4 linked regions of the Astyanax mexicanus genome follow. The protein of the gene in region 1 purifies or fractionates together with the protein of each later gene. This does not show direct contact. Links are inferred from orthologs where the notes say so. Each region holds a gene or a part of one and is shown in the gene's direction. Other genes may lie near its edges.

What was found.
Region 2: the proteins of eps15 (region 1) and fcho2 purify together in Homo sapiens (affinity purification with mass spectrometry; 3 studies listed by BioGRID and IntAct, with this or other methods). This does not show direct contact. The link is inferred for Astyanax mexicanus from reciprocal best matches to the Homo sapiens genes EPS15 and FCHO2.
Region 3: the proteins of eps15 (region 1) and ap2b1 purify together in Homo sapiens (affinity purification with mass spectrometry; 3 studies listed by BioGRID and IntAct, with this or other methods). This does not show direct contact. The link is inferred for Astyanax mexicanus from reciprocal best matches to the Homo sapiens genes EPS15 and AP2B1.
Region 4: the proteins of eps15 (region 1) and ap1b1 purify together in Homo sapiens (affinity purification with mass spectrometry; 3 studies listed by BioGRID and IntAct, with this or other methods). This does not show direct contact. The link is inferred for Astyanax mexicanus from reciprocal best matches to the Homo sapiens genes EPS15 and AP1B1.

The regions. Positions count from the first base shown.
Region 1 is NC_064419.1:46,970,635-46,978,431, reverse strand, and holds the start of eps15 (epidermal growth factor receptor substrate 15), read left to right. Parts: upstream 1-4,787; 5' UTR 4,788-4,856; coding exon 4,857-4,883; intron 4,884-7,797. UniProt on the Homo sapiens protein: Involved in cell growth regulation. May be involved in the regulation of mitogenic signals and control of cell proliferation. Involved in the internalization of ligand-inducible receptors of the receptor tyrosine kinase (RTK) type, in particular EGFR.
Region 2 is NC_064408.1:22,662,805-22,670,244, forward strand, and holds the start of fcho2 (F-BAR domain only protein 2), read left to right. Parts: upstream 1-4,437; 5' UTR 4,438-4,691; coding exon 4,692-4,724; intron 4,725-7,440. UniProt on the Homo sapiens protein: Functions in an early step of clathrin-mediated endocytosis. Has both a membrane binding/bending activity and the ability to recruit proteins essential to the formation of functional clathrin-coated pits.
Region 3 is NC_064408.1:29,619,937-29,627,608, forward strand, and holds the start of ap2b1 (AP-2 complex subunit beta), read left to right. Parts: upstream 1-4,660; 5' UTR 4,661-4,787; intron 4,788-6,210; 5' UTR 6,211-6,231; coding exon 6,232-6,268; intron 6,269-6,410; coding exon 6,411-6,516; intron 6,517-7,059; coding exon 7,060-7,195; intron 7,196-7,672. Other genes in the region: pex12 (peroxisome assembly protein 12), read right to left, coding at 1-304, 462-997, 4,278-4,409. UniProt on the Homo sapiens protein: Component of the adaptor protein complex 2 (AP-2). Adaptor protein complexes function in protein transport via transport vesicles in different membrane traffic pathways.
Region 4 is NC_064429.1:35,995,327-36,002,767, reverse strand, and holds the start of ap1b1 (AP-1 complex subunit beta-1), read left to right. Parts: upstream 1-4,419; 5' UTR 4,420-4,637; coding exon 4,638-4,661; intron 4,662-7,441. UniProt on the Homo sapiens protein: Subunit of clathrin-associated adaptor protein complex 1 that plays a role in protein sorting in the late-Golgi/trans-Golgi network (TGN) and/or endosomes.

The DNA.
Region 1 (7,797 bases):
GTTTGCTGTATAACTTCACACTAGACCTCGAGCAGTTTGGACTGTGTGTCTCTCCACTCTTCCTCCAGACTCTGCTCTCTTGATCTATAAATGAAATGTGAAATGTACTGATGATCAGTGATGGTTTGGAGAGCCATGTCTGTCATCTGCTGGTGTTGATCCACTGTGTTTTATTATCAAGTCTAAAGTCAGTGCAGTTTTGTTTTCCCACAAAATCTTACAGCGCTTCATATCTTACAGATTCCATCTGCCGATAACAACTTTTATAGAGATGCGGATTTCGTTTTCCAGCAGGACTTGGCACACTGCCAAAAGTACCAATTGGTCTTATATAATATTTTAATTTTCTGAGACACTGAGTCATAATCATCAACAATAAAATAAATAATCAATAAAAATAAATCACTCTGTGTGTTATACATCTACATAATTTATGACTTTCACTCATATATTGTTTTATCATCATCATTGCAATATGCCCATGTGCAATAGTCAAATCCCAGGATGTTCGATTTCAAAGATCAAATAAAATGAAAAGGGTCAGGCTTTTTTTTTTTTTTTGCTTGTTTAGTATGAAAGGAATATTCTCACTTGTGAGAGTGTACTATGATTATGACATGACATAATGGATCATGGACCTCTGAAGAAAACTAGTAAAATGTCTGTATTCTGTATATCTAACATTATATAACATATGTAACATATATATATATATATATATATATATATATATATATATATATATATATATATATATATCACAATACAACAAAATATTGTGATATGCAGCTCTAGGTTCTTATCAAAATGATCCTGTTTTGAGAGCATTTAAGCCTTTAAATTGTTAAAAAAGCAGTCTCCCCCTCACATCCACTTTTTTACTATATGCACAAATACACACTAAATTAAACAACACTGTTTATGCTGTTGGAGTCTGATACTCTTTTAATTTAGTGAGTTAATGCTGAAGTTGAGGTACTAGACTAGAAACTAGACTAACTGGACGTGTTAATCCATTGTTGTGCTTCAGGGCTACCACAAAATGTCATATTTCCAATAAAATAAAATTAGACCTTTTGTGTAATAACAGACATAAAAATATTATTATTTACTGTCTATCTCCATTTGTGAGTTATTATTGTTGGGCTCTAGTTTACCAAAAAAATCTTATGGGATGCTAGATAATGTATGCACTGAAGGAGCACCAAATAGCTTATTGGTTTTTAGAGATTTTGAGGTAAAAAGTGGCTTTTTAAGGGAGCACTATATGATTTCTGCCAGTAGATGTTGCACTAGAGCACAAGCATCTTAGCTCAAAAATATGCATCTGTGGAAGTTTAAACATTGCTTTTTCATGCATTTGTGACCTAAAATATATATTATGGTGAAGTCCATATTTCAGTGTTCCGCACTGGCAGGTTCCTGTGTGAACTATAAACTCTGTTACAGTACATTCACATTCATTACCACATTCTAAAATATGCACACATACAGGTATTTACACCCTGCAGGTATTTACAGGTGTGTGTATGCAGAAGGATTAAGCGATAAAGAATGGTCATTTCTTATAGACTATACAAGGATCAAGCTTTTTCTCCATTATCCCAAACCTGGGATGGGCTGGGGTTATTTCTAGATACACACAGACATATTAGTTGAACCATAGTTAGGATACTGTACAATAAAGCAATACATTGTTATAAAAGTTTAGTCTACGTTAAAGTGGCAGTCCGTATTATTTTGTTTCTAAACTGAAAGCAGAAGCATTTCTGAGTGGAGAAGTATAGGGATAAAATATTTTGTATTTTATCCCTATATCCCTGCTAAGCCATATTCATATATTAATTCTAAAAACTGGGGTGTTGGGTCGCTTTTCGCGTGAGTTCTTCTTTTGGCCACGTTACACGTCTTTACATACTTACGTCACACGTACAGCCTCTAAAAGAGGATCCGGCTCAGTTTTACTGAACGCAAGCGGCTGGTGGAGCATTGAAGACTTCAGAAGAGGAAACTCAGAGCTCAGTAGATCAAAACTTACAGACATCAGCTTTAATTGGAAATAGTACAAAATTCATCAGTGCATATTTTAGCTTGCAGGTTATACATTTGTGTTCAAAAAGAATGGCAGATGGCATCTTTTTCATTATTTTAAACATTTTCCTATATTATATATATAGTTTACTTTTTTTTATTATTTTTTTCTTAAATCAAATTTGTATTATTTTTCTATCCAGTATCCTACATCTTTTTTTTAGAGATGAAAAACTTTTAAGTGACAAAAACTGTATCATTTTGTTGAATTGAGATCATCCTGTATTTAGAAATATGCTTAGGTATAATTTATGTATGTATGTATATATATATGTATATATATGTATGTATATGTATATATATATATATATATATATATATATATATATATATATATATATATATATATATATATATATATATATATATATATATATATATATATATATACAGCTATGGAAAACAATTAAGAGACCAAATCAATTCTCTGAAATAGGTATATGTAACAAAAAGATGAGTTTTCAGACCTTAAAAAATGCAAAGAAAGCAAACTTATGTGGCGGCCCCTAACTAGGGGTTACCAGACTACGCCACCCCTTAAATTACTTATTTTATTTAGAGTAAGGGGAACTCTCAAATAAGACACAAGAACTTGACTGTAGTACAAAATACAATGATTTATTTAAAACCGTACCAAAGTCAAATCTACTGTCAGTTTCATTTATTGGGTGAGAGGAAATATATATATAAAAATTTAAGAAAATCACAATTTACCCATGACCACTGGGTCCAGGGTATGGAGAAATATGAAGTCAATCCAATAGGACCAAAAGAACACACGTGAATAAAGTTTACTTAATCACTGCACAGCAAACTTAAAAATAAAATAAACTAAGTACAAAAAAAAAAGAATCACACTTCTAGTGAACAGGACTTAGCCGAATATGGTTGACTCCAAACCCCCAGTCCCAGTAACAATTATAGCCACAGCTAAAATTGACTAATTGTACCATGTGGTTACCACTAGGCTAGAGTCTATACAGAGCACATCATTAAAAACCACAATACTTAAAAATACCTGAGCAGTTAATACACTTAGTGCTACAAAATTTATGGTAGAATAAAAAAATAAAAAAAAGAAATACAAAAAAAGAGCAGAAAACAGCAACTGGCAACCACTGGAACTGTGGCTCTCTATGCAAATACACAAAACACACATTAATACATTCATCACATAAAAACAGTGCAACTTGCATTCAATTACCAGAAGAGACATACCACTTAACTCAAGGTGGAATGCTAACTTCGCCCATGGACAGGGTAGCAGCTTTAAACCTCTATTAGAAATAGATCACACAAAAGCAATTGAAACATGATATAAAACCCATTTTGCATTCTGTTCAGAACATAGAGACATATCTTACCTAAAGTCCCCAAGTGACCATTCTAGAAATGGTACTAGTGTTAAATGTAGTAGTAGCAGTTAAATATAATAGCAGCAACCAAAGCTAAAACACTCAAACTATTACAAGACAGCACATGGAGCTAAAGCAGCTCAAAAGCATAGTGTCTCTAATAATGTACAATTAGAATGCAGCAGACACTTGCCTACTATTACAGAGCATATGGAGACATACATCTTACCTAGAGCCCCCAGATAACTATTCGAAAGAGTACTAGTGTTAACTATAGTGGTAGCAGTTAAATATAGTGGTAGCAACCAAAGCTAAAATAATCAAACTATTACAGAACTTTAAAAAGTGCAATAGTTTAAGCCTACCTGATCAAAAATACCTTCAAAGTTAGTCAGGATAAGTAGGAATTAACAAGCAGCTTAGCCAAGAGCTAACAAACAAACAGAGTGTAAAAAAAAGTTAGTCAGAATAAGTAGTGATTAACAAGCAGCTTAGCCAAGAGTTAACAAACAAACAGTGTAACTTAACCCCAGCATATCATATAATTAGCCAGCCTACCTCTTATATCACGTCGCCAGGCACAAACACAGACTGTTGCTATTTATAGCCACTCACAGTCGCTCAGCCTCGGGCACTCCTGTTCTCACTGAGTAATTCACTAGCTCAGAGAATCGTCTCCAGCCCACGCTGCTACTCGCGTTAGCTTAGCCACACAGTGCTACCTTCAATAGGACCCCCTATAGGTGCGTATATAAGTGCCTGCAGGACCACACTGACTCGCTAATGCTGGCGCCCTAGTTAATGACGTAACTCGTTCACGCCCCCTGCACCTGCACGCATACACACACACACACACACACACACCCACAATAGCTGGCTACACTTATATTAAGAAAGTTTTTTAAGAGTTCAGAAATCAATATTTGGTGGAATAACCGTAGTTTTTAATCACAGTTTTCATGCATCTTGGCATTATGTTCTTCTCCACCAGTCTTACACACTGCTTTTGGATAACTTTATGCCACTCCTGGTGCAAAAATTCAATCAGTTTATTTTAGCTTGATGGCTTGTGCTCATCCATCTTCTTCTTAATTATATTCCAGAGGTTTTTCATTTGGTAAAATCAGAGAAACTCATAATTTTTCCCAGAGATACATGTAAAATAAAATCTTAGAAAGTAACGTAAGATCACTAAACAGTTTTCAGAATGTAAATACAGCAGCCTTCTCCTAAAACCTGAAATCCATGTCAGGTTTTTGCTCCGCCGTCTGTGTGCGCGCTAGACTGAGGTCATATTGCAGCAGTCCGTTCCTTTATGGAGTAAATCCGGTACCGGGGTTTCCAGCCTCCCTATATTGCCCCATTGCCTATCGCAGCGCAGGGTGATGGACTAGTGGGAACAGAAACATTATGGCTGCCAGTCTCTCCCTGACTCAGGTAATAAATACTGATTCTGCGCGTTAATACAGCTTTATCTCCAACAGCTTTAGCCGCTAATCCTCAGCCTGGTGTCCAGCTGTCCGGGCTAGGCGGGTTTTGAGGTTAAACTCTGCCGGGTTTTTGTTTTCTCTGGTTGTTTGTGCAGACAGTGCTTTGGAAAAAGTTTCTAGCTAACAGGCTAATGCTAACTAGCAGGCTGATCTGAGCTGTGGGCTGCGGGAAGGGCGTAGTTAGTGTCAGTTTATAAATGGGTGGGTTACCAGCTTTTATCGCCTTGTTTTCTCTCTAAACTCACTTGGATGATAGCGAAGAACGTTTAATAAACGTTCAGTGCTCGGTTGTACTACAGATTTTGTGTTGAGAATGGATAAACAACTGTTAAACAACCTTTATTTAACGTTAGCTAATCTAGGAAGCTAACAGGCTCTCATAGACATCAGTATCTAATTTACAGCTCTGGAAAAAAGTAAGAGATCACTTCAAAATCTTTAATTATACCAAAATAAAAAACTCTGGAATATATTCAAGAGGAAGACGGATGATCACAAGCCATTAAACCAATCTGAACCGCTTGAATTTTTGCACCAGGAGTAAATGCATAAAGTTACCCAAAATCAGTGTGTAAGACTGGTGGAGGAGAACATGATGCCAAGATGCATGAAAAAACAGGGTTATTCCACCAAATATTGAGTTCTGATCTTTGAACTTTATGAAAGTGGACGTTTTCTTTGCATTATTTGAGGTCTGAAAGCTCTGCATCTTTTTGTAATTTCAGCCATTTCTCATTTTCTGCAAAAAATGCTCCAAATGACAATATTGTTATTTGGAATTTGGGATGAAGGTTGTCAGTAGTTTATAGAATAAAACAACAATGTTTATTTTACTCAAACATATACCTTTAAATAGCAAAACTGAAAAAGAAACTGAAGTGGTCTCTGAATACAACCAATATATAGCTAGCTCCGTATATTTAACCATATAAGTGCCCAGACCCATTTTTTAAATATTGAAACCAATTTCAATTCAATAAGAAGCTAATTTATATGTGTTTGTTACTGTGGGCCATGTCTGTAAATTTAAAATATAATAATAATGTTAAACATACATGACAACAGCATTGAATGTTTGAATACTTAAATGCAAATAACAGTAAATACACTTAAATAAAAAGCTGGTGTAGTTTTATCTCCAGCACTAACCCTAAACCTCTCCTACATTCTGTAATAAATACAAATACATTAAAGCATCCTGTAGTGATTATGTGTAGGTTATGTGTCACAAAGTTGTTAAAGTAAAGAAAAACAGACACAGCTTTTAAAGGATCTGTGACACACATACGTCACCATGGCTTCTTTTGAGACAAGTATCTGCAATAGAGACACTTCCCTTTTTCATGCTTCAATAATTTTTTTCTCTGAAACGTTTTAAATGTGTAGTTGGCTATCTACCTTGCTAATGAACTAGTAAATGCTATTCTACAAAGCTTGGTATATCTTATGTGGGATACAGAACACTGCAATTAGCCACCATGGAACGCTATAAATAATATATTATAACTAATATGCTATAAATATAGTAACTATACGAGTCATATCCTAGCATGAAGCTATAGGTATCAGTATTCTTGCTATTGAAAATCTTGCTTTATTATAGGAAGAGTATTAGTGTATATCTCTACTTTCAACTGGCTAAAGAACTTCAAGAGTTTTTAAAGGGTCTGTGACACATACATCACAATGGGTTTGTTTGATTTAAGTGCCTGCAATAGAATGCTATAGATACGTTCCTGTTTTTATGCTTTCCTATTTGTATGTGTGCGTTTTAGCTATGTTTTCAAATGTGCAGCTGGCTTGCAAACTAGCTACTAAACTAGGCAATTTTGTTCTTTTAAGCTTATTGTATCATATTTGGGATACAGAACACTGCATTTACCATGGAACACTATAAATATGGCTAATAAATATATTTTACATAGAATAGCCATATCCTTGCTTATATCTATAGATGTCAGTACCCTGACATTGGAAATCTGGCTTTAGTATAGGAAGGATATTGGTGCATACAATGCCTATTTTCAATTGAATTTTCTAGTTTAATATTATTAGAATATTACAGTAATAAATTCACATAAATCTATCATAAATTTGCATTTTTTTCGCATATTTAAGAACAACTCGAGCAGGACATCACTTTTTCCTTCTTATTTGGTTTGACTAAGTTTAACCACTTCATGCTCAATCAGACTTAGAAACAGCAATATTCACAACTTTACACATTTATTCATATTAAATTCTGGCTGCTCTGCTTGAATACTGCTTAAATACTTTGATATAAAAAATCTGTTGATATTAAAAATAAGTATAGGAAGGGTATCAGTGCATATTCCTATTTTTAACTCACATTGTTTGATATATGAAGTATGAGAGACATAAAACATTGTGTGTGATTTAGTGAAGCTGTTTCATATTTCATAAGAATATGAGAGTAATAAATACACACATGTATCATAAATGAACAGTTTATTGCATACTTAAGAACAACTCAAGCAGGACATCAGTTTTCTTTTCTACTGTGTTTAACCAATTCATGCCCAGTCAGACTTCAAAACAGCACAATTTACAACTTCAACACATTTAATCATATTAAATTATGTCTGCTCTGCGTGAATAATGCTTAAATGTAAAAAAAATCATTTTTTATCCTTATAAAAGCAGCAGAAGCAGCTGCTCCAGCAATGCTTGTTTACTTGAGTTAGCTTAGCTAAGCTAACGCTAGCTTAGCTTAGCTAGCTTAGCTTATGTAGCTTTAGCGTTTTTGCTGAAGTGTATATATAACTTTTAAAACTATATAATGATTTTTCAGCAAAGGGGAGAAGTCAGCGTTTAGTCAAGTCGTGCCCTCGTGTTTTATG
Region 2 (7,440 bases), on another chromosome or scaffold:
TGAAGGCAGCTGGAACATGGCTTCTGAAGATCACTTTAGGCAGAGATATTAACTGTAATAGCTCTGCAGGTCAGAGCAATCAGCAGCAGTACTTCTTATTTTGGCAATCTTCTGCACTTGGAAGACTGTATAAAAAGCAAGAATGATTTATGTTTAGTATTAGCTACTAAAAGATGTTTCTACAAACCAAATGTATATTTTCTGAAATATAAGCAAAACTTTTACCCCGTTCAATTATAAACAAAGTGCGTTAGAAAAAAGGTGTTTTAGAAACACATTAATAGTTCATCATGTTTAAAATTGCTAATGAAGGTGACCGGTTTTATGTGCCATCTGAAGAAAAAAACACCACGGGATATGATCAGGCTTTTTCGACTTATTTGATGTGATTTAAGATGTTTGTTTGGTAGGATTGTTTAAGATTGTTAAAAGTCTGTCTGTCACATTCCAGCAAAGAGTATGAAAGGCTTGGCTTTATTCAGTGCTGGTGCTTCGATCCCACTGAAAAATGACAATGTTGAAAAAACTGAATGCTGTTAGTGTGTTGTCTTAAATATACGAACGCTGCTATGTGATGTTTTCTACTTGAATATTTTATGTTGTAGAATCCTCAGGAGGCATGTTTACCATTTGTATTTTGTTTCAGTTTTGTTTAATTGTTTTAATATATGCCTTTTTTCCAGCCCATCCCCCAACTCTGAGTAACACTGCAAACTGCTCTCACTGATCAGTAGAGATTGATTGTTATGAGAGAGATGGTAGATTGAGTATCATTGTAAACACTCCATCTATCAGCTGAGAATCTGCAGCACTAAATCCATCAGGCATTGACTAATTTTCCACTATTTGCCAATGGAAAGTTTTACAGTTTATTGGGGGGGTAAAAAAGGAAATTAAAGAAAGAAACAGGCACACGTTAACAATAGGTGAGCACGTGTTGGAAGCTTTGTCCACTTTAACGTAAAGCAATTCAGAGCTGTTTTAGTGAAATAACAGGGTGGTAGAGAAACTGGCACAATAGTATGTGAATAGTAGCAACTTGTGCTAATGAAATTTAAGTGCAGTATTTACTGTGATGCCTTGCAATTAGACTTGATACCTGTGGGGGAATCTGTTCTGCTAGGAGACAGAGATTGCACAATATTAAATACTTACGATATTATTACTTTTTTTGTTTTTGTAAGTACTATTTAAAATGTGTCACTTTAGCACTGCACCAACTACTGTATTATGCTCTGTTAGGGGAGATAATAGTTAAGGAATAATGTAATAACCATGTAAATCCTTTTTGCTCATTAGCTCCCATTGCTCTTATATGAGAATTGTTTTTTTTTTTTAGTTTTTATTTCGTCTTTGGCAAGCTGCTCAATTTCAGAGATGGAAATATCGAAGGTAATAATTTTTTTGGGGGCCACCAAATATTTTGGATCATGCAAATAATCTATATTGTAGTAATTTTGTAATGACGTTTGTATGACCTTGTGATGGATGTGAGTTTGTATCACTGCTTGGATCTGTACATTGTTGAAAATAAACCGTTTTCATAAACTGTTCTTCTCGTTTCTGTTGCATTTGGCTTCTGGTTTCTGGTTAAAGTGGTAAGATCATTTGACTGCATTTCACACACATTTTACTTTAGTGATTAATATTAACCTGGCTAGTGTATTTTACTACTACAGAATTTTCACATGAGTAGTATGAAGTCTGAAATGAACTAAGGATGTTTTCAGGGTAGATAGAGAAAGAAAGAAAGCCTACTTTCAACATTGTGACCAACATAAATTCATCTTTAGTCTTCAGCTCTGGCAAAACACAAGATTGCTTAAAGTAGCTAAACCTGACAATTCTATTGTAAAAAGTTTTTTTTCCTTTTTAGCTCAGTACCAAATTTTTGTGTTAATGTAAGATCACGGTGGTAAATTTGCACTAGATTCATGTAATTGTATAATAGCCTTATAAATCATCACACAACAAAACCTAAATAACATTAAAGCATATAAATAGTTAAACAATGACAAATTAAGAAAATTCAAGTACATCAAAATGTGTGTATATGTATGTGTATATTATTATTATTTTTTGTATTGAGCTGTAAATAATTGTAAGAATATGGTTTGGATAAATCTAAAATCCATGGGGAACTAGATGACTAGACAAATGCACTAACAAAAATATAACTATAACAGTGAAATGTGTTTTAGCCAGTTGCACAAGGACTCCTAACACCTCTAACACACTAACTACTTCTAACCTCATTTCCTTCTTCCCCTCCTTCACTCCTCTATCCCCTTATTTCCCTTTGACCTCCTTTAGGCCCTGTCTAAAGATGTTTTTACCTTTAACTTCTATTACTTTTGTACTTCACTATTGTAAGTGGCTTTGGACAAAAGCGTCTGCCAAAATGTAATGTAGTGATTCAATAATTGCTCCATACTGTTCTGGAACTGGTTCCAGAGTATTGGTGCTTTTCAGCAAACCAGTCCACATTTGCACCGGTTTTACTAAAACTGATGAGAAGTCACAGAATCGTCAAAAAAAAGGAGCTGCACAACAGCTCTCAGTTTGTGGTGAAGAACCCACTGTAACCTAGTTTAGTTTACTTCCAGTTGGAAACTTTTAAGTTTCCAGAACCCATTTCTGTTGATGGAAATGCACCAAACGCTTCATTCCTGGGGGAGAACCAGCATAAAAAAGGACATGATTTTGTTGTTAAGATGTTGCGTTATCCTTATATTTGTGACATTTAATGGACTTAAAATGCCAATATTATTTTTTAAAAGGTAATAAGTGCTTTGTTTTTTTGCCATTATATTATCTATATTATATGTTCTTAAAATGACAATAATATTTATCGAAACGATTTCTTTGACGATATATTGTTTACTGTGACAGGCCTAACTATGATTAATTGAAATGGTTTTCTTTAAAAGGAAATAATGGCATAACAAAGCAATAAGGGTGGGCGATATTGCCCTAAAATATCACGATATATCATGATATTTTTGTGATAACGATACTCTTGGCAATATGCCAACACACTGAATTAAGAATACACTCATGCAACTAAATGAATTCAATTTTATTACTGCATATGACATGATATGGCACACCCCAACTGAGATATAAAAAAATATAAACAGAATGTCATGATACTAATAATGTACTCCAGATATTTCCATATATCCAGGACTGAAGTGAAATGGATGATACTGGACAGATATAATCTGTCTCTAGTATATATATAATAGGACATGAGAACAGTGTGAATTTTTATTTTGCTAAAAACAGCAAAAAGGGGTACCCTGATGTGATAATTAGGGGTGGGTGATATTATATTTTAGGGTATAATATCATTCACGATATATTTAAAATGTTGGCAATAGTAATGCGCACAATACGATATAGAACACCCCTACAAAGCAGTTATATCATCTATACTATACAGTTCTGGAAAAAAAAAATAAGAGACCACTTAAAAATGATGAGTTTCTTTGACTTTACCAAATTGAAAACCTCAGGAATATAAATCAAGAGGAAGATGATCACAAAACATCAAACCAAGCTGAACTGCTTGAATTTCTGCACCAGGAGAGGCATAAAGTTATCCAAAAGCAGTGTGTAAGACTGATGGAGGGGAACATGCCAAGATGCATGAAAACTTTGATTAAAAACCAGGGTTATTCCCCCAAATTATTTCTGGACGCTAAAAACTTTATGAATATGCATTTTTGCATTATTTGAGGTCTGAAAGCTCTGCATCTTTTTTGTTATTTCAGTCATTTCTCATTTTCTGCAAATAAATGCTCTAAATGACAATATTTTTATTTGGAATTTGGGAGAAATGTTGTCTGTAGTTTATAGAATAAAACAACAATGTTTATTTTACTCAAACATAAACCTATCAATAGCAAAATCAGAGAAACTGATTCAGAAACTGAAGTGGTCTCTTAATTTTTTCCAGAGCTGTATGGTCTTAAAATGACTATAAAATTGCTTATTGCAATGATTTCTTCTACGATATATCATACACAAAACAATTGTTATCGTGACAGGCCTAACTATGATTCCAGTATTAAATGGGTTTCTTTAAAAGGAAATAAAGGCGTAATAAAACAATATCATCTGTATTATATGGTCTTAAAATGACAATATTGCATATCACAATTATTTATTTGATGATATATTGTTTATAAAAAAATGTGACAGGAATAACTATGATTAATTAAATTTGTTTTCTTTAAATATGCTCTTTAAAAGATATTGACGATAATATTGTTTATCACAAAAATCAATTCGCCATATTGATATATCGTCCACAAAATATTGTGATCGTGGCAGACCTAATCACACAGGCTGTGGTGTTGTTCCTCAGTCTGGCCGCTGGTGTCGCTGTTTCTCCTGCAGTAATGCACTACAGTACAGCACCCGGCGAGCGCTGTGTGCTGCTGACTGAGGCCGCGGCCGGACTCGGGAGAGCAGCAGACAAGTGCCGGCGGTGCAGAAGGAGGAGGAGGAGTCTTGGAATCAGAGGGGGAAACGAGCAGACACGAAAGAGGGAGGAAAAAAAGAGAAAAATCCGCAGACAAAACAAAACCGTGAGAAGGACGGCGGACTGAGCGCGTCTGATATCACAGAAACCTAATTAAAAGTACGAGGGAAGATTGGCAGTGGAGAGAAGGGAGGACACCAAGATGATAGCGCCTTATTTCCTGGAGAGTTTCTGGGTAAGTGAGCGTGTTTTTATTATGATTCGCTTTATTATTATGTTTGCTGTGTGTTGGTTCGCCGGCTCCAAACACAGCTGGCTTAGCTTAGTTAGCCGGAGCTAGTTGTAGAAAGAGAGAGGCCGGCACTGTGTGTGTTTGGAGGCTAGTCAGTTAACCTAAGTAGCAACCCGGTGTGTGGGCGCTTTACTGCAGAAAGCTTACCGGGGAAGCCTGCTCGGGGAGGGGGACAGCGCGGTGAAGCCGCTGCCCCGCTCCCCCTGCTGCTCATCCGGCCAGTGGCAGCTCCGCCAGGCCGGGGATTGGGCCGCCTCGGAGAACCAACGACCAACACCAGTAACCAACTACAATCCACCACCGCGTCTTCTGATTGGCTGTCGGCCTATGTCCTGGAATGTTAATGACGCTGTTCTGAACGCTGATTGGCTGTTGCAGTTGTCAATCGCGTGTTGTCAGTTTTTTTGCCCATTTTCTTCCGTGGTGAAGTTTGAGTGAGAGGCCAGCACTGGCTGTAATGTTAACCTAGCCAGACTGGAGCAGCTAATTAAACTGTGATTTATGCTGGACATAGTTAGTTTTCAGTAATTCCAGTCCACACACATACACTGCAGCTTCTTAGGTTTATAAAAATGCTCTTTTACAGGCCAAATATGTGACAGTGGAACTGTAGTAGTTGCTCTGACTGGGGGCGTTGCAGTCAGTCAGATAGATAGATATTAACCAGTCTTACCAGCACCATGAAGTAGCTATAACTAACTAACGTCCAGATGTTTATAACCAGCAAGCTAGTGTTAGGTTAGTTAACCTACTATTGTGAGCTACACATATATAAGTACATATTGTCACTGCCTGATAAAAGCTTTATATCTCCACGTTTAGCTGATATTTTGTACACAGTAAACAGAACAGTTACACTTCACTATGAAAGTCTATCTTTGCTAGCTTGCCGTCCACTAACACACAAGCTTATTAGAAAAGTAAATACTGAAATAAGTTAACCCAACCTATCCTTACGTTTCTGTGGACAAAGATCGTTGCATAAGTGCACTGTGTGCATTAATTATATAATTACCTAGAAAGGCACCGTTGTGGGAATTCTGGGCTGATTTAATGTAAGGTTAACCTAGCTAATTAGCTTTAGCTTAGCTAATTAAACTTTGCTTTGTTTTGGACACTAATACTGTACCTTCTTAGGTTTATATAAATGCAGTTTAACAGAAACAATATATGACCGTAGAAGTGTAGTAGTAGCTCTGACTGGAGAAGTTCCTGTGAGATACGCACAGATGTTTATAGCCAACAAGCTAGCGTCAGGTTAGTTAACCTAATGTTGTGGCTCACACACGTTAGTACATATGGTCACTGCCTTGCTAAAACCTTATATCTCCACGTTTAGCTGATATTTTCACTTGTGAACCTGGTAGCTAGTTGGTCTTTACATACCCAGTGTTTATTGTCCTGTGCACATAAAAAACAGGATTGTTATACTTCACTATGAAATTCTAACTTTGCTAACTTGTCGCCTACTAACACACAGGTGACTGAGACTGACTTAAGTTAGGTCTGACAGAAATATGTAGTTTCATTAGCTAACCTGTTAACCTAACATTGCTGTGGGCAAATAACATTGTCATAACTAGAGATGCACTGTTGTGGGATTTTTGGGCTGATATGATGTTAACGTTAGTTAACATTATCTTAGCTAATTAACTGTGAATTCTGTTGGACAGAACAGGTTTCAGTAATTCTAGTTCACAGACCAACACTGTACCTTCTTAGGTTTATAAAAATGCTGTCTTACAAACCAAATATGTGACAGTAGAAGTGTAGTAGATAGCTAGCTCTTGGCTGTGGACATTCCTCTTAGATATTACTAGACTTCATCACCCTGAAGCAACATCCAGATGTTAATAGACAGCTAACATAGCTAGGATATATAACTACATAACCTAGGTTAGTTAATCTACTGTTGTTGCCCACATGTGTTAGTACATGCCACTGCCCAGGAAAAGCTTATATCTCAAGACTATGAAAGTCTTACTTTGTTAGTTGTCCACTAGCACACAAGCTACAAGTAACAAAACTAACATAAATTAAAGACTATAGACAATATTAAACTATTTTAGATATATAATTGAAACAAAAGATTTAAGTTAAAGAACAATAGACATGTACAAGTTGCAAACAACCAGGAATCCTAATTAGCCATCAGAAGAACATATTCATAAAATACACTGTACAATAATGACATAACCCAGGTTAACAGATAATTCTGCCAGGTTTCAGCTACCTCAGCTGATATCTAGATGTATATAGCTTTGTACTGTTGTTTGTATTAGTAGCTAGCTAAATATCATCGCTGTCCTGCATCACACTTCATCTCCATGTTTCACAACCTGGTAGTTGTTCTTTATATTCCGTCAATATAAATGCTGAGCCGGTGTTTGTTGCAAAGGTGTTTGCTAAGGTGTTCCCTTGGTATAGTTCTTGGTTAATCAATTTAGTTTTTTTGGGGAGCCGAACCTGAGAGTTATCGGGATACAGACTGGAAAGGCTGCCAGTCCAGTTCTGTCCACATGCATTTGGTTAATTAGTTGAGTCTAAGAACTGTTGGATAAAAGGTGGGATGTTTATACGTTTGGCTAATACAGCTGTGTCCACAAACTTTTGGCTAAAATGTGGGATGGTTTGTCCAAGAGCTCCTCCTTCAATGACG
Region 3 (7,672 bases), on another chromosome or scaffold:
GTACATGTATATGCATCGATAGCAGAAGACATAGCCTGAAGTAGCCAGGGCCGTGTCATTGCTGCGCAACTTCCTGCACAGTGGGCAGACTTTATTGTTTGTGTGAGAGTCCTGGTCCTCCAGATGAAGTGGGGGTGGAGGTGTAGGGTGGGATGTGAGCGACTTTATGTTGCTCTGGTTCTCTGAGGAGTACCACCACTCCAGAAACTGCAGGAAAAACACACCCAGAGAGAGACTAGTGGAGAGAGATACTGCCACGCCTCCAACCATTGTGGACAATACACGATGCAGCTTCTCTCCAATGCTGTTGAGGGAAAAACAATTCGCAATTACATTGCATTATTCACCAGAGAATTTTTCACTTAATTCTACTGAAATACACTAAATATATATAGGATTTTATCAGAGTTTTATCTTGACCAAATTAGTCAGTTATAACATTAATAAATAATAATGCTCACCTCTGACTGGGGCTCAGTGCGGGGCCTGTTGGTTTGAGATCCAAGCTGCGAATGTCATGAGCTGTGAGGTAAGACAATTTAACTCCAGCCAGCCACAACAGGGGTGAGTGTGTCCGTGTTTTTCCAAAAACGTAAAACAGCTGATGGAAAAATGTCCAGCCATCCCATGCCATGCACACGTAAGGGTAGACAGCCAGAAAGGCCCTGTACATCTTCTGAGTAAAGGACTGTGGCAGCCGTATGGAGAAGTCATCCTCTTCCTTCTGGCGGGCCAGGACCTTCTCCAGCTTGGTCCGCAGGTATGGTAGGAGGGCAAGGAGGAGCAAGGAGCGCAGGTGCTGCCTACGGCTGAGGCCTTGGTAGGCTGCTCGAGTGCTGTCTCCACCTACCCGTTTCAGGCCGTAGAAGTTTTCAGAAAATGATGCACTGGTGCGTGACAGGAAATGGTGCTGCAGCAGGAGGTCCAGGACAGCGTAGATCTCGTCAAACTTCCTCCAGAGAATTCCATATCGATCAGGATTGGATTCAGCCAAGATCTAAGTATACATAATGACAAATAACCACAGAAGGAACAACACAAATAGGTTATGACACTACTGATGGTTATGACACTACTGATACTAAAGTATCATTTTTCGAAAAGGCAAGAAGTGGTAAGAATTATTTTATGGAACAATTTTATTTTACAACTGTGTTAAAATACCTTTGTATTTATGTCCTCTGCGGGATTCAGTATGTCAGTTTGTTTTATAAATGTATAATACAATATAATATTATATTACTTTACATAATGTTGCTTGCATGTTTTTATTCTGAGCAAGCAAAAGTATTATTAGTATTAGTATTATCTTAGTACTGGTATTAAGGATGCACTGATCTGATATTAATATAAGTTTTGTGTGCGAAGTGCGGAGATAGCGGTGAGACCCAGATGGTTGGACGTCAGCAGGAGGGAGCCATTATTGACAGACTGATCTGCATATTATCAGGTGTCTGCATACCAAAGTACTCAGACACATCATCCACGCCTATAGCACAGTTGAACTTGAGAGGGCACTGCAGAGGCAGAAATTACCATAATAAAAGCAGTACTGGTTAGTTTCATTTAGGGCTGGGGCGACGCATCGACATAATCGACGTCATCGATTACAAAAATACATCGATTTGCATAACGTGCGTCGGCGCGTCGTAAACATGGCGGCGCCTGTGGAGAGCATTAGAGGTTAGATCGGGCCCAAAAATTCCAACTGGCTGTTTTCGGGCTGTTTTAATGAGCGAAATATGATCAGAATTATGTTAATTAACACGGTAACATAGAAGCATAGAACTATTATTTAATTAAAATGATTTTTAAGAACAGCTAAACACAGTTCTGCAAGTCAAACGCGGAGGAGTTCACGTGCGAGAGAGAGAGAGAGAGAGAGAGATTTGCTTGTTCTACTCACAGGTGAAGGTTCTCTTTGATCTCCTCGTGCTCATATTCTAGTCCCATTCATAATTCTGCAGCTCCCTCAGTGTTTTCTGCCGTATTTTGCGGCTAGCGCGAGCGCTTACAACTGACACCGCGGACCGCGAGGTGCCGCCGCGTTTGTGCCGAATCCGACTCTCTGCTGAATCTGACTCCCGCTTCGCGGACAGAATCGGCACAACACCCCCGCTGTAGAACTGCGGTAGTGAAAACAGCGCTTATAAATAAATTAGTTTAGTTTCACTTTCAGTTTTCGTTATTTTTTTTTAAATAAAAATATAATTAAAAAACAGACGCCTACATCTCGGACTATTTTCTGGAGCCCGGGTCGGATTTACGGGCGGGCCTCGGGTCATGTCGGGTTCGGGCAGAGAATCTAAGCTCTAGGGAGCTTGGACTCCGGAGAGCAATCTCCAGCTACAAAAAAACGCCAGCGGGCATCTAAAGTTTGGGAGCATTTCACGCAAAAGGGCAACAATGTGGTCCTCTGCCATACGTGCAAAAGGAGCACTTGAAGCGCAAACATCCAGGAGCACTATGTCAACAGGGTCACACAGTAAGTTACCGTTTACATCAGGGTCTCCGCGGGTGTCCTTAAAAAGACTTAAGGCTGTCTACCAAAGGTTTTAAACCTGCCACAGGCAGAAATTATACATTTTTGGTTTATATTTGTGCATGGCATTTCGCAGTTTCCAGAAACAGTAGCATTATTCATAAGTTCAGGTGTTTAGCTAAGCTAGCTGCCTTAAGTTATTTTAGCTAGCGCCGTCGGCGCTGCGGTGTCACACCGTTTTCTGTCACCGTCGGAATTTTGTGACCAGTGCTCACGGTTATGAGCGTTCATTGGCAAAACGGAAGCTTTCTATACCTACACCTTACCCTCAGCCCTAAACTGAACCGTTTTGGCCAGTCGGGGTAAACATTAGAAACGAACACGTTTCGAATCGGCCAGTGCACCGGTCTGCTGAGAACTACTTGCCAGTGGTCACAAAATCTAGCGGTCACAGAAAACAGTGCAACACACGGTTGTGGTGTATGGGAGCTTATCCATTTTTAGCGTTATAGATCTAAACAACGTGCTGTACATGTAAGTGATTATAAGTGTGGGGTTTGGTTTAGTAGGCTTGTGTTGTTGTTGTTGTTGTTGTTATTATATATAAATATAGTAATTTATCGTTTGCTTTAAAACGTAAAATAATTATTTAAATATGTTTCTCAATGAATAGATTAGTCGACTAATCGAAAAAAATAATCGTTAGAATAATCGTTTAAAAAATAATCGTTAGGGACAGCCCTAGTTTCATTACTTTAAAGTAACATATATTAATAGAAACAATATGGTTTAGAGGCTCTTTAATATTGAATTTAAAAGCTGTACCGAGGCCCAATATGTTAAACTATATTTGATTTTGCAAGGTTAGTAAATGTTTAAGTCAATTAAGAAAGTCTCTCGACTAATGATATCAGATCGGTATGGGGTATCAACTTTTAAGTTAACTTCTGCCTCAGTATTGGAAGTGAAAAAGTGAAAAAAGTAATAAAAAAAAAATCACTGCATCCAATACAAAGCTATAACTACAGTACCAGGCATATTTGGACAAACCTTTCACCTCATAAAATGTTTTTCTTTATTTAATTGTAGATTAATAACAAACACATAAAAACAATTAAGGCACATATATGGAATTGGAGCTTAGTGCAAAGGAAAAACAGCAACTACTATTTAGCACCTTCAGGAACTCCTTTAAGACGCTAAGAAAACTATACCAGGTGACTCTACCTCATAAAGACACTGAAAAATACCAATTGTGCAGATCTGTCCTTAAAGCTAAACATGGAGGAATCTAAAATATGAAACATATTCTGGTCTGTTTAACAATCATATTCATGTACAGCTTTAATGATTTCAATATTAAATTTATAATGTAAAAATTGATTTGTATAATATTGCAATATTTTGAGATTAAATATTTAAGAAAAACAGTATTGAATACAAAACAATAAATCAACCTGTTATGGTTGTGATGATAATCGTTATTGTACATAATAATATGGATTTGTGGTGTAACCAGAGGGATAGTTTGAAACTAACTAGTAGTTATTAAGGACTTAGTAGAGACTTTACACACAAACTTAAGAAGGAACTTACGCAAAAGTGGTGCAATGTTCTCTAACTATAATTATGCTTTCATACTATGAGAGTTAAAATTGTTGATGTCGATGTTATATACGGAATTGTTTATAGTATCACAATCTATTGCTATATACCGAATCGTAACCCCTTCAAGTATCGTATCGCCAGGATCACAACACGCAGTCCTCAGTATTCAGTTGTTTTGCGGGCTTACCTTCACGGCGTGCTGCAGTGCGGGTTTGACAGCACCCATCAACGAGTCCTGAGCTAAAACCTCAAAAATACTCGGCCTGTCTTCCACTGCTGCTGCTGCTGCTGTGGTCAGATGTGCTCCTCTCTCCGCCATTCTGAGCGAGTTTACAGATAGATAACCTACTTAAACTTCAAAATTAGACTGTAAATCAGAGAATACTTCAGTTAGGAAGCGAACAGCGGTGTCTATAACCCACTCTGCGCTCAAAACAACCAGAACCGGGCGCCATAGTGGCCAAAGTACAGTGTAAACACTGTTTAACGCATGCCATTCTCTGCACCTCGGCGGTGCAACAACATGGCTGTTCCGTGTTTTTCCAAGAGCTCCCAACTTTCCGTTCCGGCCGCTCCATCTTCTTCCCCCCTCCGTCTACAGCTGTGGCAGTGAAAGCGGCCAGCAGCAGCAGCGGTTCACTCCAGCTCCGTTTACACCCGGATACCCTTTAAAATCCTCTCCGCTCCTGTTTCCGAGGTAGGGGCTTTTATTGTTGCTGTTTTGGACAGTCTGTTTATTTGCTGGCGAGGCGAGTTAAAAGGCCGATTTAACGAATGTCGTTCATTTTTCGTAGATGATAGCTAGCGATAGGTTAGCTTAGCAAGCTACCTAGCTAGTTAGCCTAGCCCAGATAACCTAACGTTAAACGGTCACACCCAGGGGTAATTGCTATGGGAGCCTCAAATATCGAGCTTAAATACATTATTTACACTGAATATACTGTGTTTTCTGTCTATGGGTAAATAAATAAACAGTGTTCTGTCTGAGAATGGAGCTGAACGGATATGAACGGATTCCTGGCCGGCCTGCTGTGTTTCGGATGTTCATTCTGATTAGATAAAGTTATTAAGACATATTAGACGTTTCTTTCATTTGTTTTCCAGCAGAATAAGCTTTATACTGAACATATATCTCTTTTTAAATTCACCATGACTATATTAACCTTCCTACCTGGCTAACATTACACCCATAGCCAAATATATAGTAAACTACTTATATATTTTCTTAATTTATTTAAGGGTTTTTTTTTTAAGAAACTTATTTACAAATCCTTTGGATTAATGATAATTATTGAAGAGTTTACATATCATTACACCATCAAATTTTTTTAATGCATAGATATACACGCATAACTATACACACATATATTCTTACAGGTCTGGAACATAAATAAGAGACCACTTAAAAATTATGTGTTTCTTTGATTCTACCAAATTGAAAACCTCTGAATTATAATCAAGAGGAAGATGAATAGTCACAAGACATCAAACCAAACTGAACTGCTTAAATTTTTGCACCAGGAGTGGCATAAAGTTATCCAAAATCAGTGTGTAAGACTGGTGGAGGAGAACATGCCAAGATGCATGAAAACTGTGATTAAAATCCAGCGTAATTCCACCAGATATTTATTTCTGAACTCTTAAAAATATGTAAATGAGCTTGTTCTCCTTGCATTATTTGAGGTCTAAGAGGTCTGCGTCTTTTTTGGTATTTTAGCCATTTCTCATTTTCTGCAAATAAATGACAATATTTACATTTGGAATTTAGGAGAAATGTTGTTTGTAGTTTATAGAATAAAACAACAAAGCTCGTTTAAATCGTACAACACATACAACTACTACAATATTAGAGCTTATGTCCTTTGTAAGTGTTAAATAAGTTACAGGGTTTGAAAGAGATTTCAGTAAATGTCCTATAAAACATATACAATAGGGTAGGTAGCGAGATAATTTGGCTATGGGTGTAACCTTAGCTAGATTTATGTTAAATCTATCATTCTTTTTTGCCAAACGGCTATTTTTTTGCATTATAAAAAAAAAACTTTCACAACATAAATTGAGACTCCTATTTGTGGTTACATATTTATTTGTATTATTTTAATGTGTGCTTTTCTCTGAAGTGAACTTGAACACCAATCAAAATGACAGACTCAAAGTATTTCACTACAAACAAAAAAGGTAAGGTTTTAACTTTGATTGACATTTATTTTTTCTCATTAATAAATCTGAATTAAACCTCACTCACACCTGGCATGGTAGTTTTATCTGGTCAGTGCTTTATGTTTTATTAACCTTACCCTACAATTATTATTTTCTATAGGAGAGATATTTGAACTGAAAGCTGAGTTAAACAATGAGAAGAAGGAGAAGAGGAAGGAAGCGGTGAAAAAAGTCATCGCTGCCATGACCGTGGGCAAGGATGTCAGGTATGATGGGTTTATTGGACACTGTTATTTAAATGCAGGGCAAGGATCATTTTCAGGGCAATAATGTCACGTGTTCTGTGAGCTATTTGCTTTATATGTTTTTTAATTGTTTGGGCCACAGACATCGCAGTTGTAATTTATTTATAATGATTCTGTAAGGAGAACGAAATTAATTTCTTTTTTTTCTTGGGGATTATTTGTTAGAAAAATGTTTAAATGAATCCCACACTGTGTAGGCTGTAATTTAGCTTAGCTTTAGCTCATTTTCATTTTGACTTATTATTTTGCACTGCAGTTGATGCTTTATTATTATTATTATTATTATTATTATCATTCCTTATTCTGTGACTATTAAACACTCTAGTCAATAATCAAGTAAAAGTGTTTCAAAGTGCTAGCATGTTTTTTTTTTTTGTTTTTTTTTTTCATTTGACTGTTTAAGTTTGTCTCTTTATTTAAAATAGATTATGAGGAGATTTGTATATTGCTGATGGTGGTGATCTTGATTTAAATCTATCCTGCCTCGTTCTTTCCTCTCTGTAGCTCTTTGTTCCCGGATGTGGTGAACTGCATGCAGACTGATAACTTGGAGCTGAAGAAACTGGTCTATCTATACCTGATGAACTATGCCAAGAGTCAGCCTGATATGGCCATTATGGCTGTCAACAGTTTTGTAAAGGCAAGTTTTTCTCTTGATATTAAAGAAGAGATGCTTAAAATGTGCTTATGCTATTTGCAACTTAACTCTCAATAGGTATTGCTTTAAACCACTTGCTTTAAACATTATAAACACATAGAGCATGTAGCTTTTCCTTTATCTTTCAAAATGATAGTGGCATTCTTCTTTAGAAATAACCCTAGGTTAAACATGTTCTGTGAGATTTAATGTCATAAATATTCCACTGTATTCTGTTGGTTTGGAGAAAGCTTGGAGAAACTTTTGGAAGCATTTAGGCTACATTTACATCACTAAACTGAAGTAGTCCAGCTCTGTTTTTATAAGCTGTAGATGAGAGCTGTTTTATTGCAAATTTGTTTCTCTAAAGCCTATTAAATATATAAGTGGTCAATATTGCAATTATTGTTTTAGGATCTGTATGGTCATCATGATTCACAGTGTAAAATTCTGAGTATGTCATTGTTTAATTCAGGTAGA
Region 4 (7,441 bases), on another chromosome or scaffold:
TGTGTAACATTTTTAAAACGTCCATTAATTTTGTTGTGGAAAAAGATGAATAACATTGGGGCCATTTTCAACAAAATCATGTAACATTTTTAGAACATTCTATTAATGTTATTGTGGAAATGTTTTCTGCTAACATTGGGGCAGCAAAATTGTGTAACATTTGTAAAATGTTTCATTAACATCACTGTGGAAATGTTTCTTCTAACATTGGGGCAACTTTGAACAAAAAAACTCCCAACATTGGGGGAACTTTGAACAAAGTTGTGTAACGTTTTTATAACATTTCTTTAACGTTACCATGGAAACGTTAAGCTGTCCATGCTTTTCTACAGTCGCTGGTTTGGACCTCGGTATCGGTATCGACCCACATGTTGCTTTAATGGTGAATCAGCTTTATCAGTTCTGATAGAACCTCTCCGGTTCTGATTCTGTTTTTTTGCTTCATGTTTATGGATTTATGGATTATTTTGGATGTATTTTAAACCTGCATGGCTTTTTTCCCCTCACGTCTCCATTGGCTCCCACTAATGCATGCCCCGCCCACTTTCTGTCCGTACCCATAAAATAATAATCTGATCTCCTCCTGCCTGCGTTCCTCTTCTGTTGCTGCAGAGCTGGAGATGGATGGTGATTGGACGAATCTCGGACTGAGCTGTTGCGATTGGTCGGTTTGAAGAGCAATATTTGCAAATCCAGGACTTTACTGTTGTTTGGAAAAAAAAAACAATTGCTGTTAATTTTGTTCTTGTAATAAAAGCTGTTTTTCTGATCTGTGTCTCAGTTTTTTTTAATTCATGATGTCTTGTAGACAGCATCCTGTGGGTGGGGTCCTGTAGGCAATGTCCTCTGGCCGGCATCCTGTGGGCAACATCTTCTGAGCGTTGTCCTGTGGGTAGCATTCTGTGTCTGATGTCCTGTGGGTAGTGTCCTGTGGGTAGCGTCCTCTGGGCAGCATCCTGTGGCCAGTGTCCTGTGGGTGGTATCCTGCGGGTAGCGTCCTCTGGGCAGTGTCCTGTGAGTAGTGTCCAGTAGGCAGCATCCTGTGAGTAATAACCTGTGGGCGGTGACCTGTAGGCAGCATTCTGTGGGTATCGGGTATCGTCCTGTAGGCAGTGTCTTGTAGGCAGTATCCTGTGGGTAGCATCCTGTAGGCAGAATCTTGTGGGTAGTGTCCTATGGGCTATGTCCTGTAGGCAGCATCCTGTTGGCAGCATCCTATGGCTAGCGTCTTCTGGGCAGTGTCCTGTGTCCTGTAGGCAGCGTCCAATGGGCAGCATCCTCTGGGCGGTGTCCTGTGGCCGGTGTCCTGTAGGCAGTGTCGTGTGGCAATTGACATGGCAACATGTAATCTTTCACTCCACACCTATTATTCATCATAAAAGACATTTATTAGCCAGTCAAACAGCAGATTAGCCCCGCCCACTGCACTGAAAAAATTAAAATCCGCAAACTGAAGTAAAGCATTGGGTTTGTTCAGGTTTTTGCCTGTGTGAAAACAAACCAAACTGAGGGGAAACCGCTCAAAGTTAATGAACTCATCAACTGATTCAGACCAGATAAACCAAATACAGGTGTGAAAAAACTGCTATAAATATAACACTGATCACTTTAGCTCGATTTTAGATATAAAGAATATTCCCACCCACTGCGACTAAATTACCCACCAACAAAGAAACTGAGCTCTGGTCTGATTGTGTGCAAACAGTGCAAATATACACAACATACAGAGCTTTTAAACACAGTCCTGTAACACTGTGTGTGTGTGTGTGTGTATTAGTCACAGGCACTTAAATCCCTGTTAAAAATCTGTGAGAAAGAGTCGTAGAGTGGGTTTCTGCAGTTCTGTGTTTATTTAGGAGGATTGTTTATGAACCTGCTTAGATTTAAGGCGTAATTAACCATAAGTATCTTTGGTCAGGAAACCCAACATTAAATATATGTTGGAGAAATCTATATTCTGGATATGGCTGTCATTATAAAACACACAAATTTTACATTATTAAAATTATTGTATGTAAGGTCTAATATGCAGTGTAATAAAATGTAGTGTGTATTAAATACAGTATAATGTAATGTAATATATGTTATATATAAAGCAGCAGTGTGTAGGGTAGTTAGTCTGAGGCGATGTAGAAACTCTGCACTACAGACTGAAGCTGAAGAGGTGGAACAGTGTGTGAATTATTTATCTCAGTAAACTGAACCGCTCTCCATTCCTACAGCACAAACTCAGCACCACACCTTATAATACTGCAATGTTACACTATAACAATCAAATGTTTGGACATATCTTCTCATCCAATTATTTTATTCTTTTTTTTATTGATATACAATAAATGTATCAAAACACTGCATCACATGGCTATTTAGATAATAAACAAATCTAATATATTAATTTTACACATTAATTATACAGAAAAAAAAATCAACAAACAATGGATCATATATCTATAAATATCAATATGAATCATACATTATCTATCATACATACTAATGTATATACCATATATTTTACGGTAAATTTCTGAATTGTGCATGCAGTATACTATGTAGTATTACTTTATACCACTAATACATTTACTTTAACATGAAGAAAAAGAACCATATGGCAAATAACATAGTAAAAAAAAAATAAATAAATAAAAAAACATTTATTAGATAGTATAATAGCAGTGCACAGTACTGGGTTGGGGTGGAGAGAGTTAAATTACTATAATATGGTACCATATGGTAACTTTACTGAATTTTGTTTTGCATACATTATACGTCTATAATTAGTATATATTACTAATACATTCAATGTAACATAAAAACTGCATCATATAGCATATAATATATAATATATAATCTTCAAAAATGATTGTGTCAGGCATATATATGGGAAGTGGAAAGTGTATTATTGGTGTATTGTTTGGAATTTTTCTGGGTAAGCTTTATGTAGCTTGGCATATATATATATATATATACGTATATTATTATTTTAGGTTTTACATTAAAAAGAAAACAAACCCTGAAACACTACATCATATGGCCACCATAATTAATATGAAACTGCATCATAAGGAAATAAATATAAATATTAACACTGTTTCTACTAATTATTTGTAATGTTTTATAGGAAACACAGAACATCAACTTTACAGGAGAAAGATAAAACCTTAATTTTTAATGGAAGTCAATGTAAAAATACTTTATTTCAGGCCATGTTAAAGCATTTCTATTGGTTTGTTCATCTAGAAATTTCGGCACAGTGTAAGGGACAGTTTGTCTGTTCAAATTATGTATTAAACAAAAAATCGACAAAAATGAAAATGCTTGTTTTTCATTGGACAGCGACTATATATAATTTGTACAGTATATATTAAATATTATAATAGCAGTGCACAGTACTGGGTGAAAGTGGAGAATGTAATTATTAGTATAATATGGTACCATATGGTAACTTTACTGAGTTTTGTTTTGCAAACATTATACTGTATATAATTAGTATATACTACTAATACATTCAATGTAACATGAAAACTATATTATATTATATAGCACATAATATATAATATATAATCTTCTAAACTCATTTTTTCAGGCATATATATGGAAAGTGGAAAGTGTATTATTGGTGTATTGTTTGGAATTTTTCTGGGTAAGCTTTATAGAGCCAAACAATATTAATACTGTTTTCTACTATTTTTTTTGTCCGTTGTTTTAGGAAACACAAAAGATCAACTTTACAGGAGAGAGAAAAATCCTTCTTAACTTATAATGGAAGTCAATGTAAAAAGAGTTTATTTCAGGTCACAAAAAAAAAATGGACAAAAATAAAGAGATGCTTGTTTTTCATTGGACAGCGACTATATATAGTATATATTAATGTAATATATGTATAGTATATATTAAATATTATAATAGCAGTGCACAGTACTGGGTGGGAGTGGAGAGTGAAATTATTACTATAATATGGTACCATATGGTAACTTAAGTGAATTTTGTTTTCCATGCACTATAGTGTATATTATTAGTATATACTACTAATACATTCAATTTTACATTAAAAACCCTAACTAATACTGAATTATATAGTAACTAATGTGGTAAATAATTAATGTAATATATTTATATATATATAATATGGGTGTAATATGATCAGTGCTGGGTGTGATAGAGTGAGTGAGAGTGAGAGAGTGGGCAGTAGGAAGTGTGAATCATATGAATTGGGAGTGAACCAGGCCGGACTCACAGCAGCAGCAGCAGCAGCTTCACTCTTCTAAGGTAAGCTGATTTAACTCGGGCTTATTTATCTCGGGCCGCTTTCTGCCTCTTTAATTCAGATCCCGCATCTATATTTAAACTGTTTCCACCGCGCGGGTCGGGCGGGGTCCGAGCGCTGCCGGATTAAAGGCTTAAGAGCCCGGTGAGCGCTGCGCTCAGCTCGGCTCAGGCAGAAGGTCAAGCCGCTAGCCTGCGCGGTAGCATCCGCTAGCATTCAGTAGCATTCACTAGCCTGTTTACGTTGACTTCCATTCATCTGTTAGCTTGGTTAGCTAGCGTTAGCTTCGGCTACCATTCATTTGACTGCTTTAAAACCGGGCTAACTAGCGCATTAGCTAACTGTGCTAACTAACGAAATCTGCTGGGAAAAAATGGAGTGGGCGAGTCAATTATGCGTGAGTTTATTATTATTTTAAATATTAATATATAATATTAGCACTTGGTATTATCTTTAGTCGTGTTCTTTTTGTTGTTGCTAATATTATTTGTGTGTGTTTTTTATTAATATGTGTGTATGTTGGGTTTCGTTAGCTTAGCATAGACTATCTTAGCATAGCCTAGCTTAGCTTAGCATAGTTTGACGACTTATCTAGCCTGTTTACACAGTTTTTAATGCTTTTTATCAGTTAAATTGTAAAACAGTATAAATAACAGTGCTGTAAATGTTACAGAAATGTGGATAAATGCACAAATAGAAGCTTGTCAATGTTGGAAAGTAATTCATTTAACGATATTTAGGCAGTTTAGCCAGTTTAGCTTGTTTGTGTTTAGCCTGGCTGTAGTAAACATATAACGTTAGTTAATAAAAACAATAATAGTAATAATAATTAAGAATATGAGTTATTTAAGTTGTTACAGTTGTTTATTTAGCTTATACATTTATTTTAGCAGTTGTTTAAGAAATATGGATTATACAGAGTGATCTGGAGAATATAAAACTGAATCTAATTCTTGAAGTGACGTGTCTGTTTATGTAGTTTACTAAGGTTCAGTTCAGTTATGTGAAGAAGTTTGGGCACCCTGATATATAATTTTCATGATTGTCTTTTATAAATCATTTATAAATAATGAAGAATGCTCCAAAATACCTTCAGCCAGAAGCCAGACTCTTTTTGGAAGCTATAGGAAGAGTTTAAAAGCTGTTAATACTGATAAAAAGCAGGATCTTCTAAATATTAATGTAATCTTTCGGTTGGGGCCCAAATTTATACTCCTGTCTAATTTAGTTTAAGGAATTATTGCACAATTTCTGTAAATCCTATAAACTTCATTTCACTTCTCAGTTGTGTGTCAGTATGTTTGTCTACTATACAGGTGCTGGTCAACGAATTAGAATAATTTGAAATAGTGCAATCATGAAATTCTTTGAATGCATTTTTTGTGCAGAAAGCAAATCAGGTGTTCACCGCACCTGTCCTACTCATTAGACTAATCACAGAACTCGTTACCTGGAAAAAAATTTGCTCAGCTGAGCTTTCCAAAAGGCCCATTTAGGCCATTTAACTGTGACACTGTTGTTTTATTGAATTAGAATAATGGAGAAACCGTTTCATTGAATTAGAATAATTTTTATTATAATTACAATCATCACTTTCTCAGTATTTTGTGGCTGCCCCCTTGGCTTGTATGACTGCCTGAAGTCTCCGCGGCATCGATTTGACCAGCTGGTCGCAAGTTTCCGCACTCACAGCTTCCCAGGCAGTGGCGATGTTCTGCTTCAGTTGGTCCAGCGTAGTAGGCTTTCTGTCGCAAATTTTCCGCTTGACGATGGCCCAAAGGTTTTCAATGACATTGAGGTCAGGCGAGTTGGCCGGCCATGCCAAAACTTCAAGCTGTTTTTTAGTGAACCAATCTTTGGTCGACTTTGCCGCATGAGCCGGTGCAAGATCCTGTTGAAATATGAAGTCTTCTTCGCCGAACTGTTCCTCAACAGTCGGAATCAGGAACGTTTCCAGAACATCTTGATATACGGCAGCATTGACAGTCTTCTTGAGGAAGCAGAGTTTCCCTACACCTCGAGCGGACATGCATCCCCAGACCATAACACTCTGGGGAAACTTGACGGATCTTTTCACGCACTCGTGGTTGTAGGTTTCGCCACCACAACGCCAGACACGAGGACCTTGGTCACCGAAGGAGATGCAGAAGCGTGATTCGTCACTGAAGACCACTTTCTGCCAGTCTTCAGCAGTCCACTCGCCGTGTTCTTTGGCCCACTTCAGCCGTTTCTCCATTTGTTTCTTGTTCAGCATCGGTTTTACTGCTGGAACGCGAGATTTGAAGCCGAGTTCGCGCAGACGACGGTAAGTGGTTGATCTGGAGACGTCAGCGCCGGTCTGCTTGTTCCACAAGTCGGTGAGCTCGGAAGTGGACTTGAACCGGTTGCTGACTGCGATCTTTCTCAGCTGCTTGTTGTCGCGAGCAGAAGTTTTTCGGACGCCGGAACAGTTGGTGCGCTTGCTGCAGTTTTTCTTGAGAGCTTTGCAGACGGAAGACTGGCTGATGCCGAGCTGCTCAGCAATTTTAGTTTGGGTCAAGCCTTGTTGGCGAAGGGCTTGAATTTGAGCCACTATTCCGGTTGAGAGGTCGCGCTGCTTACCCATGATTGATTTTACAACTTAGAAATTCTACTTAACCCTGACTTTATACTGCACAGTGAACACTCTTCACAGAAAACAAAAATTTGAGCATTTATTCTAATTCAATGAAACGGTTTCTCCATTATTCTAATTCAATAAAACAACAGTGTCACAGTTAAATGGCCTAAATGGGCCTTTTGGAAAGCTCAGCTGAGCAAATTTTTTTCCAGGTAACGAGTTCTGTGATTAGTCTAACGAGTAGGACAGGTGCGGTGAACACCTGATTTGCTTTCTGCACAAAAAATGCATTCAAAGAATTTCATGATTGCACTATTTCAAATTATTCTAATTCGTTGACCAGCACCTGTATGATATATTTAACTGAAATTGTTGATCTCAACAACCAATGATTTATAAAAGGAAAATCATGAAAATTATCAGGGGTGCCCTAAACTATTTTATTCCACTGTAGGAGTGAGCTGACTCTTAGTTTAAACATGTTCACTCTAGGTGTTAAAATGGAGTAATCTGGAAAATATATATGGCTGTTTATTTAAGACATTTAATTTCAGTTGATGAAAAAAATTAAGTGATCT